Linked DNA regions of Drosophila melanogaster. The protein of the gene in region 1 purifies or fractionates together with the protein of each later gene. This does not show direct contact. Each region holds a gene or a part of one and is shown in the gene's direction. Other genes may lie near its edges.

Region 1 (4,055 bases):
TGCTTTGATCGCTTCTTGGGGTTTTGGATTGCCACCGCCTTACCATGTCTGCGGATGCGCCACTGGGCTTGCGCATAGCCACTTATTTGCAGTTTTATTCCTAAAAGACAAGAAATATTAGAATATGTAGATCTTCAATAACATGACTTCTTAACAGAGAAATATGAGATGTGCTGACTAACATTTATAATATTTCCATAATAATACTATAATATAGGCTATAATATAGACAAAGAAATCAGTACCTTAATAAAAAAGTTAAAAAAAAATACAACGGGCTTCCTAATAAAACTAGCTCACTTTGTTTATCTCTTTGGGTTACCTCATAAGGTAGGGGTAATATTAGGATAAGATAAAACAAAAGCGAGAAGCACTGAAAGACATTTCCAAAAACAGTTAATAAAAGCGTCTTAGGGGCATTTTAAATTTAACTAATACGGAAACTGTTGACGCACACTATAAAATTATTCAAATTGTTTAAATATTTGATTTGGGCTGCAAGCACGCAGATGCAAAATGGAAATGAAATAACTTAAAGACAAAAATTAACCTTTTTTTTTTTAAATAGAAGTAGAAAACATATATTTCGAAGAATCAACAAAACTTGTTGTCCATATCACTGCAAAGCCCAGACGAAAACCGTGAGTAAGTTCCCTGGTATTTCCTCGAAAGAAAATATAATTCGTTGGGTAGATCCCCAACTATAAGTAAGGTTGTTATCGCTCCCCTTCGGCTCCAGGAATCATCAATTATCGCACATTTGGAGTGTCCGCATAGTTATCACTTAATTACCCATTTCAATGGTTTGTTGAATCTTTTGCTTTTGCCAAACCTGACATTATCCGAAGCGATAAGATACGCCGCGCTCGATAAGCGAAAGCCCCCACTAGTTTCCGTACTGTTGGGGTATCCTAGTTGGTCTTACTTACCTCGCAGTTTCTTGGTCTTGTTCAGATTGACAATCACCTTGCCGGTTATCACCTGGCCGGTGAAGTAGGTGCCGTGCTCATTCTGGTCGAACGTTATCATGCAGTTCTTCGACATGTTGGCGAATAGGTAATGGGCTTATGCCTCTCCAGAGCTTTTAGATTTGCGAGCGATCCTAACGCGCCCGCTGCTAAACACGAACTGGGCCAACTGTATTGCTAACATGGCCTGGACTCTCATTTTCAGTTTTACCGTCGGCTGGCATTATCTTATCGGCTCAACTCAGTACAAAACCCACTGCAATATTTGTCTATCTGGATAGTTGGCAACGCGGCCAGTTGAGAGAAATTCCTTCATTAATTTATTAACAACTTATGCGATAAATCAGGGACTCCATTATCCTCTATTTCTTTATTGGTACAACGCCCTATCATCGCTATCTCAACCTTGGGAAAACTGGCCCTCATCGATCAGTTCTGCCTGCCAATTTCGTACTTCTCAAATTGCTGTCACTTACATATGTAAATACTCCGATAGCAATGGTAAAAATTTGTGTTTAAATACTGAGATACCTATCGCATTGATAAGATAAAATAAAAATGTTGGCCAAATAAATGCTGCACAAAAAATAAAATAAAAATAGCCGCAGCGGGTGACTTCAGTTTGTTGGGAGCCACGACACAGACAGGGCAAAAGTTAAACAGCTCCCGGATTATCATACAAATTATTCCGCACAATGGTAATCTGTGAGATTGAGTTCTGCAATAATTCCCAAGGAATTTTTTATGCAGGCCAGTTGATTTCAGGACAGGTGGTCATTAAAACTGAGAAGGAAAAGTCAGTGAAAGGTAAGGCGCTGATTCATTTTGCTCTACTCAAAACAAACGTTACTTGCTAAAAGACTTAATTGATTTGAAGTGCAAGTGTTGCAGGGGCTTAAAATAGCTTTTATTTTTACTTCAGCTGTAATCCTTAACATCAAGGGATATGCCGAAACCCACTGGGCGGATACCGAACACGATCCGGATGATCAGTCGAATGGTGAATCATTCAACGGACATGTGGACTACTTGGCCACTAGGGCTTATCTGCACGGGTCTAGTTCCAGCATAGGTATGTTCGAAGATGATAAATCACCATAAATCTAGAGATAATGAAATCAAAGCTCCATTTCAGAGGTGCTTATTGAGCCTGGCACCAGCTCGTATAGATTCGCCTGTCAGTTGCCCATCACATGTCCCTCTTCTTTCGAGGGGACACTAGGTCGGATACGTTATCTGGTGAACGTGAGGTTCGTGCGTCCGTGGAAGTTCGATCTGAACTTTAATCGATGCTTCACTGTGATCAAAGTGATGGACCTGAACTCCGAAAGCCTAATGCTGAGGGTATGTTTCTTAGTCTCTCCACACACTATGGAATAGTCCACTGTACCATGTGTTGTACCAAAGACATTAGAATAATGTCTAATTCTAGTGTCTTTGGTTGTACCATGGTCAAGTATAAAATTTTATATTTTTATATTTTATAAATTTTAGGTACCTAGTCAAGTGGAGTCCCAGCGAACTTTCTGCTGTTTTCCCTGCCGCTCGTCGCCACTCAGTATGCGACTTTCTGTTCCACAGAGTGGCTTTGTGCCAGGACAGATCGTGCCGGTGGAGGTGATGGTCTCCAATGACAGTGGTGTAGCCGTGGAGGACATAACCGTAAAACTGACTATGGTGGTGATTTACTACAGTCAACCCCCGTCCGCGGACACCAACAAGGACCGTTTTGAGATGGTCCTGAAAACAGGCGGAGGTGTGTCGACCAAATGCCGGCAGCAGTTTACCTTCGATCTTAAGGTGCCGCCAACTCCGCCAACCTGCTTTAATCTATGCAGCATCATTCAGATCGGCTATCAGGTGGAAGCGGAGGCCAGAGTTAAAGGTTGTCATGGCGGCCAGTCCCTTCACATGCCCATAACTATTGGAAGTGTCCCGCTAACGAAGCAACTCCAAAAAGAACCAAGGACTTGGGGTGAAGTTCTGCCACCCCAGCAGCTAGATGCGAAGGCTTTGATTTTAATTGGCAGCGAACAGAATGGAGAAGCACTCGGAAGCCCCAATCCTTGGGCTGCGGATCCTTCAATTGGTGAGTAAAATAGGAGCTTTAAGGAAATTCATACAAAACTCCATATTCGAATTTAAAGATCATAATTCAAGGAATCACTTATTTATTTTAGCACCGCCGAGTTATGCTGAGGCTAAACACATCTCCCCGGATCCGCACAAGTTCTCGAAATCGAAGAAAAAGTCTCAGAAAAGAGGTGTAAAAGGATCACAAGAGAGGAAAGCTGAAACAATTGTGTTTTCACCCTTATACGCAGTCTTTGATTTGTCAAACCAAGTGGACGAAATGACTTTGAGAGCAAATGAACCCAAGACTGATGGCGGCTATGTCAATGAAGGTGTAGAAAAAAGCACTTGGCTTTAGAAGGGCTTAAAAATGAATGTACCCACTCTGTAAATAATTAATAAGTAATCGAAATACAACAGACATGACAATTACCCTGTGGTTGAACGCAAACTGCGGGAACTTTTCGTCGACCTCAGTGAGCAATATTTGCTGAGTTGTGCGATATCTTATCGATGAGTTAATATATTTATTTGAGTGAAATTGCTATCTTCAGATGCGAGAGCCTCAACTCATTTGGGGGCACTTGTTTTTACACCACAAATATAAGTATCAGCTGTTTTTGGACCTGATAATTCAGTTCTCATGTTAGCTGGTTACGAATGATCTATTTATTGTATAAAAAAATTGTAGGGGGTTTTTGGGTTTACCAATAAATAGATTTATGGGTGTACTGATAAGATAAATTACCAAAAGCTCTCCGTTGCACAAAATAAGTGGTAAGAAACTTTTTAGTTCAGTTTGATTGCGGCAATTGAAGGGAAAACATCTTAACAATTAACGACAGACTTAAATTCATTAAAACTTGTGCTTTAACCATAAAAAACCATGGGAATAATTTGCCAAATTCTTTTTCACAACAACACGCAAGGGGTTTTTTACGCGGGCCAAATGGTTGCTGGTCAAGTGACTCTGAGCACTGATAAGGCGATTCAAATCAAAGGTAAGTACTCAGT
Region 2 (3,626 bases), about 10 Mb from region 1:
CAGATCTTCTTGCGCATCGGGTGATTGCAAAAGGAGCATTTTTTCTTCAATACGTTTGCTGTGTAGAAACAAAAAGTATTAGGGCAAAATCGCTTGTAAATTAATTGTACCACTCACATGGGATAAAGCAGCAAGTGTATGTTCGCAAATATCTCATTAAGTTTAAACTTTTTGCTGCGTAAGTACTCCAGACACTGCTTCACGTGCAGCAATGGTATATGGCACCAGTTGGGATGGCGAGAGAGAAGATTGCGCAGCACTTGCACGTCCTTCCCCAAAACATTACTCAAGTAGACGACTATATCGCGGCCTTTAGTACGATCTGAGCCATCTCTGGCAAATCTGGAACATGGTTATTTGATTAGTCAGTCAATAAGCTGATAAGATTCTTACTTAGCGAACGCCTCGGACCCACAAGAAAGGATGTGCAAGGAGGCGCACCGAACCCGCAGTTGATTGAGATAATCCAGACGCAGTCGCGCCTTGTTCTGGTAGTGGACCAGTCTCAGGATTCGCGGATTGGTACCCAAGACTTGAAACTCCTCGATCTCCTGCAGATCCCTTAGTCGCTCCAGAACCGTATCCGGTCCAAGGGTGAGCACTTCCAGGCAGCGGAGAACGGCATCCTCACTGATGCCGAAAGCGTGGACGTGCTGCAGTGTTTGCTTCAAGCTATCGCAGGTGGACATCAAAATCTTGGGTCTGCGAAAGCCGATTTCTCGTATGTCCTGCGAGTCAATGGTAGGCACCTCTCGCAGGATGCGCCGCACGTTATCTGCTTCCGAATAGAGCAGAAAACTGTTCTTCCTTAGCCGCTCGGCGGAAAAATTAAACTCTTTGGTCAGCAGTTCAATGGTGTCCTGCACTGCTCGAAAACTCTTGTGGCGGATGCGCGTGTAAACGCGCCACAGCTTCTGTAGATCGTTGTCGTCCATCTGGAGACGTTCACGCAGGTAAGCGTTGATCAGGGATTGTCTCAAGCTCTTCAGTGTGAGGGTCTCACTCTCCAGCTCCCGTAAATCCACCGGCAGCTTGATATCCTTAAAATATCCCGCCAGACGCTCCGCCACCTTCACATCGAAGGGGATGTAATTATGTGCCTTCAAGACTTCTATCGGCTTGTTGACCACCGTCACATACTTGGCCAGCGTTTGGACAGTCACGTTGTGGAAGCCGCACTCCTGCAAGACACTGTGGCGATTGGCCAAAGTGGTGGCGCCATAATAGATGATCATGGGTTTCGCTATGATGTCGTCCACACTATAGTCCAGTGATTTCAAAGTGTCGTAGGAGCTTAGCAAGTCCTTGCGCTTTAACGTCTTGAGCTCTGGGTGCTTCTCTAAGGCTGCCGCCCAAGAACGATAGGAACTACCTATAAAGACGCAATAGTGACTCCCTAAATCAACTTTAAAGCCTTAGCTTACCCAGAGTTTTGGACAAATAGCTGGCATTCAGCGGCTCTTCCATCGGAATCTCGACTGTCGGTGGCTTTGGCAGTTTTGGCTTGAGATCCTCCTTCTTACTGCTGACCCGTTTCGAACTGGCCATTCCCCGCGCCAGCTGTCCAAGGCTCCGGGCCAGCAATTGCGCTTGATTCTGGCCGTTGCGCAGCATAATTATAACATTTCCCGCAGATTTATTTACAAACGGCAAAGAAACGTAACTGTTATCGGGGTGAATGACAACTGTTGCAGCTAGTGATGGGAGCACATATATACAAAGGGAAAAAATCAAAATATAATAATATAATATAATTTATATTATATATTTAATATTTCTAATATTATTTTGTTCAATGTTTGAGTTGCAAAAAGGCTTTGAGTGTGCAGAAAATGTATTCTCCCTTGATCTTGTGGTAGGTAATCAACTATCGATACGGCCGGCAAATCAATTTCATCGATACGACGACGGTTGTTTTCACATCCCTAACCCCGCAGCGTTGTTACACGTGCGCGTGAATTATAGTTTATTTGACTTGGTTTTTATTTCAAAACATTTAAATATGTCGCTTTTACGCATCAGGTAAGCATTGGAGATGAAGCCCATGAAATGCAAATGAAATCAAACCAACTGCGCTTCCAGGAAACCAAAAACCCGCAAGGGAAAGAAGGTGTTGCTGGCCAGGGAGCCGCAACTCATTGAATCCGCCCGCACAATGCTGTTTTTGGACGGAAGGAAGTGCGGCGGCAATGTGAAGCTGTGCATGAAGGACCTGCAGGCGCTGAAGAAGCCGCTGGTTAAAGTGCTGAACCGCAAAAACGACATTACCCCCTTTGACGATCCCTCATCTCTGGAGTTGTAAGTTTGGACAAAGCAAACAACTAAAATGTAGTGTATTTAATTGTAAACATCATTCGAATCACCAGCTTGACCATGAAGAACGATGCTGCTTTGTTCACGTTCGGTTCCACGTCCAAGAAGCGACCCGATAACATTATACTGGGCAGGATCTTCGAGAACGAGGTGCTGGACATGTTTGAACTGGGCATCAAGCGGTATCAGGCGATTTCCGAGTTTAAGAACGAGAAAATCGGAGCCTGCGTCAAGCCCTGCCTGGTGTTCAATGGTCCGAAATGGGCACAGACCGAGGAACTGAGGCGCCTTCGCAACCTGTTCATCGACACCTTCCAGCGCGAGAAGGTGGATTCGATCCGGCTGCAGGGCATCGAACACGTTCTGAGTTTCACGGTTACCGATGACATGAACATACTGATGCGTTCCTACCGGATACTGCTGAAGAAATCTGGCCAGAGGACGCCGCGCATAGAGCTTGAAGAGATCGGACCCTCGGCCGACTTCTCCATTCGCCGCACCAAGATCGCCAGCGAGGATCTGTACAAACAGGCACGCAAACAGCCCAAGCAGTTGAAGGTGGGCAAGAAGAAGAACATTAGCACAGACGCCCTGGGCAACACCAAGGGACGTGTCCATCTGGGCAAGCAGCAAACGGGCTCCATTCAAACGCGTCGCGTCAAGGCGCTGCGTAAGACGCCGGAGGAGAAGAAGGAGAACCGACAGCGCAAGAAGGTTGCTCTGAAGGCGGCCGCCGCCGAAGCACTGGCCTCACAAGGAAACAATCCCTTCTCTAGTTAATTTTAGTTGTAATAAATTGGTCCTGATTAAATTAGCTTTAACAAGTGTATGAGTTCTGGAGTCGTATCAGTGTATTCCGTCGACAATATTGCGAATGCGCCGCGTCTTGGACTCGGCCAACGCGTCCTCCAGCGTTTTGATCATGTGCACCAGACTGCAGACATCCGTCTGCACTAGCAAATCCTTTCGATGCAGCCGCTCGTCCTCCTGCATGGCCTTCAGCTCCTGTTCGCTGCGCCCGGAGATGTCCACCGCCAGCAGCTCTCGGTTTTCATTCTTCGGTTCGGTGTGCAGATATAGCTTCATAGTCACCACCACCTGACACTGATCCAGCAGGCTCCGCGACGCGGTGCGCACCTCCAGTCGCCAGTCCAGGTTGACCAGCCGATAGGCACGTATGTTGGCCGACTTGATTGAGCCCTCCACAAAGTTTCGTTTGCTGGTGACGAACTGCTCGAGAACTTCTATCACATCGTCGCCGAGTTCGGGGAATGTCTGGCGCAGTATGGCCTCCATGTCGACGGAACTGCTCC
Region 3 (3,652 bases), about 19 Mb from region 1:
TTCTATGTTGGAATTATGGCCACTCGTCCTCGAAGGGAGCATCATTTACCGTGTGGAAACTCAGCCCAGTACCTTCGGGTTTGTGCCAGGAGGGAAGCAGCACAGTTCGCCAAAAGGATCTGCCCCGCACCAGACCCAAGAACAGCTTCCAGTTCTTTTTGGTGCCAAAGTTATAAGGATTAATATAAATGCGTTGTTGCTGGAGGTGCCGTTTTCGCTCAGCTTCGTTGATGTGAGCCTCCACACTGGTCTCGCCACGAGTGATTAGCTTGGCGTGCCAGATGGAGAGGCTACCGAGAGCCAAGACCACGGCAACGTTTGTGAACGCCATGAACCAAAGCGCTCGTCGTCGACCGGGCGAAGCGGCATCTGTGTCCACAATGGGTGTTGGAAGATTGTGCACGGCTGGAGGCAGCACAAATTCATCATACTCATTCGGATGTGTCTGAAGTTCAGAGAGAAAGAAAGATGAAATAAAGAAAGTAGCACAAGTTAGTTTACTGGCTTACCACTGGAATGATGTGTCCACTGAGGTTAAACTTGACTGGCTGCCCCTCCAAGGGCTCAATTTCCGTCCAGTTTTCACCATGATCCAGCCACAGGTATTTGTGGCCAATCTCCAAGCCAAACAAAATAAGAAACAGACAACCCAGAGTGGTGTACGTCATGTAGAGGAAGAAGTACCGATGATTACCATAACCCACGCAATTGTTGAGCCAAGCTATATATGGGATATATGAAAATTAATGTAGGAACCCTTTAGAAATCTTAAGGTACTCACGACAATGGTGATCCATCTTAAGTATGCAGCGATTGCAGATGGAGCAGTGATGAGTCCTCGGTGGTTTGGGAGCTATGCACTTGCCGCACATGCTAACCGCTTCTACCAGGGACACGCCCTCTGGCGGATGACCAGCCGGCGTGATCACAGCCATAACGTAGTGGAAAACCACATTGAGCAGCAGCCAGTTGCCCACAATGAGGAGGAAGTAGGTCACCAACTGACTTTTGGCCCACCAAAAGGGCAAGCCAATCCAATAGGCAATACTAACGACTGAAGTCGTCAAGGCAGCCACGCCAACCACAAAAAACTAAACAAGTTTAAAACGCTTAATCATACGAACAACAAATGTTATGTTGCATAGTGTTACCGGTCCTAGGCAGTGAGTATAGTTGTCCACAAACCAAAAAATAGGGGTCAGGCAGACGTCCGAGGCGTAGGAGGAGTTCATGTGGGCGTTGAAAGTTAAGGAGTGCCAGCAGTGCTTCATATATGACCAACGAAGCCGCAAAATCGATCTGTTAAATAAGTAAACAATAAACGAAAACATTGCAAATTAGTGATACATTTGTGCAGCGGGATATTTCAAAGCTTACAGCAACTCCTGAGTGGAGTGACCTCTCCAAGTAATGCGTGTCATTTTTAGCAAGTGGTAGCTTTCCTATATTTTATGTTATATTTAAATTACAGCATTTTTGGCGATAATAAACTTTATTTTGGCGAGCGAATTTGCAAAGTTCGTTTTGATGTGACCTTCTGCAGCTAAAATCACTCAATCAGCTGTTGCCTATCGATGAGCGGCTACTATCGATTGGGTAGGCTATCGAGTCTGCTCACCAATAGCGACAAACGTTTGTTTTGCATTTTCCGGTGAAATTGTTAAAAACTTGTATTTTCCACATGCGTTCACGCAGCAGGAGTCGCAGCAGGCAAAGGGAACGTCGCCGGTCCGATTCTAGGGCTCGATCCCGCTCGGAAAGAAGGACTTACCAGAAACCGCAGCATAGGAGATCGGTTTCGCGGGAGAGGAAAAGAGAAAGGGATAGGGAGCTCCACAGGGAAAGGACTTCCAATCGCAGCTCACGTCGCTCCAGAGAAAAGGATGCAGTGCCTCGCCGCCGTAGAACGCGCTCCTCGCCCTCCAGAAGCTCCAGCAGCAGCAGCAGTGATAGATCCAGTTCCTCGAGAAGCCCGTCCAGAAGCCGCAAATCCCGCCCAAAATCCGTGGAACGCTGGCCCAACGATCGTTATCATGAAAACAACGATAGGCGGCAGAATCCCTTCCGGGGAAGGGCTCCCGAGGGTAGTTTCATTAATGATCCCGCCGAACCATCGTTCAGGTCGCAGCACAGAGGTAGAGGATCGTCTAACCACCAATTCAAAGGTGACTCCAAGGCTGTGAATGCCCGCAGAAACCAGAGAGTTCTCATCGGCGAGGAAGGCGTGCCAGAGGTCTGGGGCAAGAGCCCTTCCCGGCCAGAAACCGACGATGTGGAGCTGGTGAAGGGTTCTTACATAGGACCCAAGAAGAAAAAGAAAAAGGGCAAGAGAAAGCACAAGAAATCTGAAAAGAAGTCGAAGAAAAAGTCAAAGAAATCCAAAAAGAAAAAGAGCAAACAAGAGTCGAGTTCCTCCTCCAGTTCTTCAAGCAGCGAAGACAGTAGCGACGAGTCCAGCAGCTCAAGTTCCAGTTCCAGTTCTGACAGCGAAGATGAGTCCGAGGAGGAAGATGTTTGGCTGGAAAAGACAGCCGACGGTATCAAGAAGCCTAAAAAGAAGAAGTCCTCCACTAGCAAAAAGGACAAAAAGTCTAAAAAGAAGAAGAAGAAGCGTAAGTCAGAGGCGGAAAAGTCCAAGAAGAGCTCCTCCTCCAGTGCCAGCAAGTCGAAGAACAAGGAAAGTGCCTCGCACAACGACGAGGACGTTGGACCTTCGCTGCGACCCGGCGGTAGTCTTAATCAAAAGGACTTCGGCAAGGCCTTGCTGCCAGGAGAAGGTGCCGCCATGGCTGCCTACATTGCCGAGGGCAAGAGAATTCCTCGCCGTGGTGAAATCGGCCTAACATCCGATGAAATCGCCAATTTCGAGTCCGTGGGCTATGTGATGAGCGGCAGCAGGCATCGTCGCATGGAGGCCGTCCGTATCCGCAAGGAGAACCAGCTGTACTCCGCCGACGAGAAGCGAGCACTGGCCATGTTCAGCAAGGAGGAGCGACAGAAGCGCGAAAACAAGATTCTGTCGCAGTTTAAGGACATGATCCACTCAAAGCTGCAGGCCAAGGACAAGAAGTAAATCCTAAAGGATATTGTCTTCAAAATGGATTTACCATAAATGGCAAACGCACATCAGGATTTCAATTCAACGAATGTCGAAACTTCATGATTGTTTTAATTTTTGTATTTGTATAAAAAAAATAAACGACAATTGTAAGTTAAAGAGCTTCTTAGAGTAACTTAATAACTTTAATAAACGCAAGAAAGTTTTCATTTTCCATTATTTATAATAATTTTCCAAATGTTCCTATGGCAGCTACACGATGTAGTCGTCCGCACACAAAATTATATATTGTTTACATATGTACTTGTACATATACCAAATATGAGCCCGCTATAATCATTGTGGCATTAACCATGGATATTCGACTAAAATATGATATAAAAATAAGCTATTTTCAGCAAACCAATCTTCATCAGAATTCGCTTCTTCCTGTGCACTTCTCTGGTTTTCCTGTTCTCCTTTCCGTCAATCTACTCTGCATTTCATCTTATTGCATCGTAATACAACAAAAACTAATGAGTGGGCTTAAATTTTCGTTGCTAAGCCCAAGAGATAAATCAGGTGTACACTTTACATGGCGACGGATTAGCCCAC

The links. Proteins that work in one complex are often made in the same cells at the same time.
Region 2: the proteins of CG18746 (region 1) and Non3 purify together in Drosophila melanogaster (affinity purification with mass spectrometry, with the first as the bait; one large-scale study listed by BioGRID). This does not show direct contact.
Region 3: the proteins of CG18746 (region 1) and CG6066 purify together in Drosophila melanogaster (affinity purification with mass spectrometry, with the first as the bait; one large-scale study listed by BioGRID). This does not show direct contact.

Annotation. Positions count from the first base shown.
Region 1 is NT_033777.3:7,787,716-7,791,770, reverse strand, and holds CG18746 (uncharacterized protein), read left to right. Parts: upstream 1-1,583; 5' UTR 1,584-1,663; coding exon 1,664-1,775; intron 1,776-1,890; coding exon 1,891-2,040; intron 2,041-2,103; coding exon 2,104-2,312; intron 2,313-2,462; coding exon 2,463-3,057; intron 3,058-3,148; coding exon 3,149-3,399; 3' UTR 3,400-3,489; downstream 3,490-4,055. Other genes in the region: CG10086 (uncharacterized protein), read right to left, coding at 1-100, 930-1,044; CG18748 (uncharacterized protein), read left to right, coding at 3,928-4,042.
Region 2 is NT_033777.3:18,221,817-18,225,442, forward strand, and holds Non3 (putative nucleolar protein 3), read left to right. Parts: upstream 1-1,905; 5' UTR 1,906-2,002; coding exon 2,003-2,022; intron 2,023-2,082; coding exon 2,083-2,298; intron 2,299-2,366; coding exon 2,367-3,093; 3' UTR 3,094-3,126; downstream 3,127-3,626. Other genes in the region: mTerf5 (mitochondrial transcription termination factor 5), read right to left, coding at 1-58, 118-342, 394-1,372, 1,425-1,614; CG7168 (uncharacterized protein), read right to left, coding at 3,160-3,626. UniProt on the Drosophila melanogaster protein: Required for normal assembly of the mitotic spindle. May be involved in both centrosome-dependent and centrosome-independent spindle assembly programs.
Region 3 is NT_033777.3:27,114,652-27,118,303, reverse strand, and holds CG6066 (uncharacterized protein), read left to right. Parts: upstream 1-1,596; 5' UTR 1,597-1,681; coding exon 1,682-3,073; 3' UTR 3,074-3,152; downstream 3,153-3,652. Other genes in the region: CG5880 (uncharacterized protein), read right to left, coding at 14-445, 510-721, 782-1,091, 1,152-1,299, 1,378-1,421. UniProt on the Drosophila melanogaster protein: Tumor suppressor involved in maintaining genome integrity. Influences gene expression and mRNA splicing.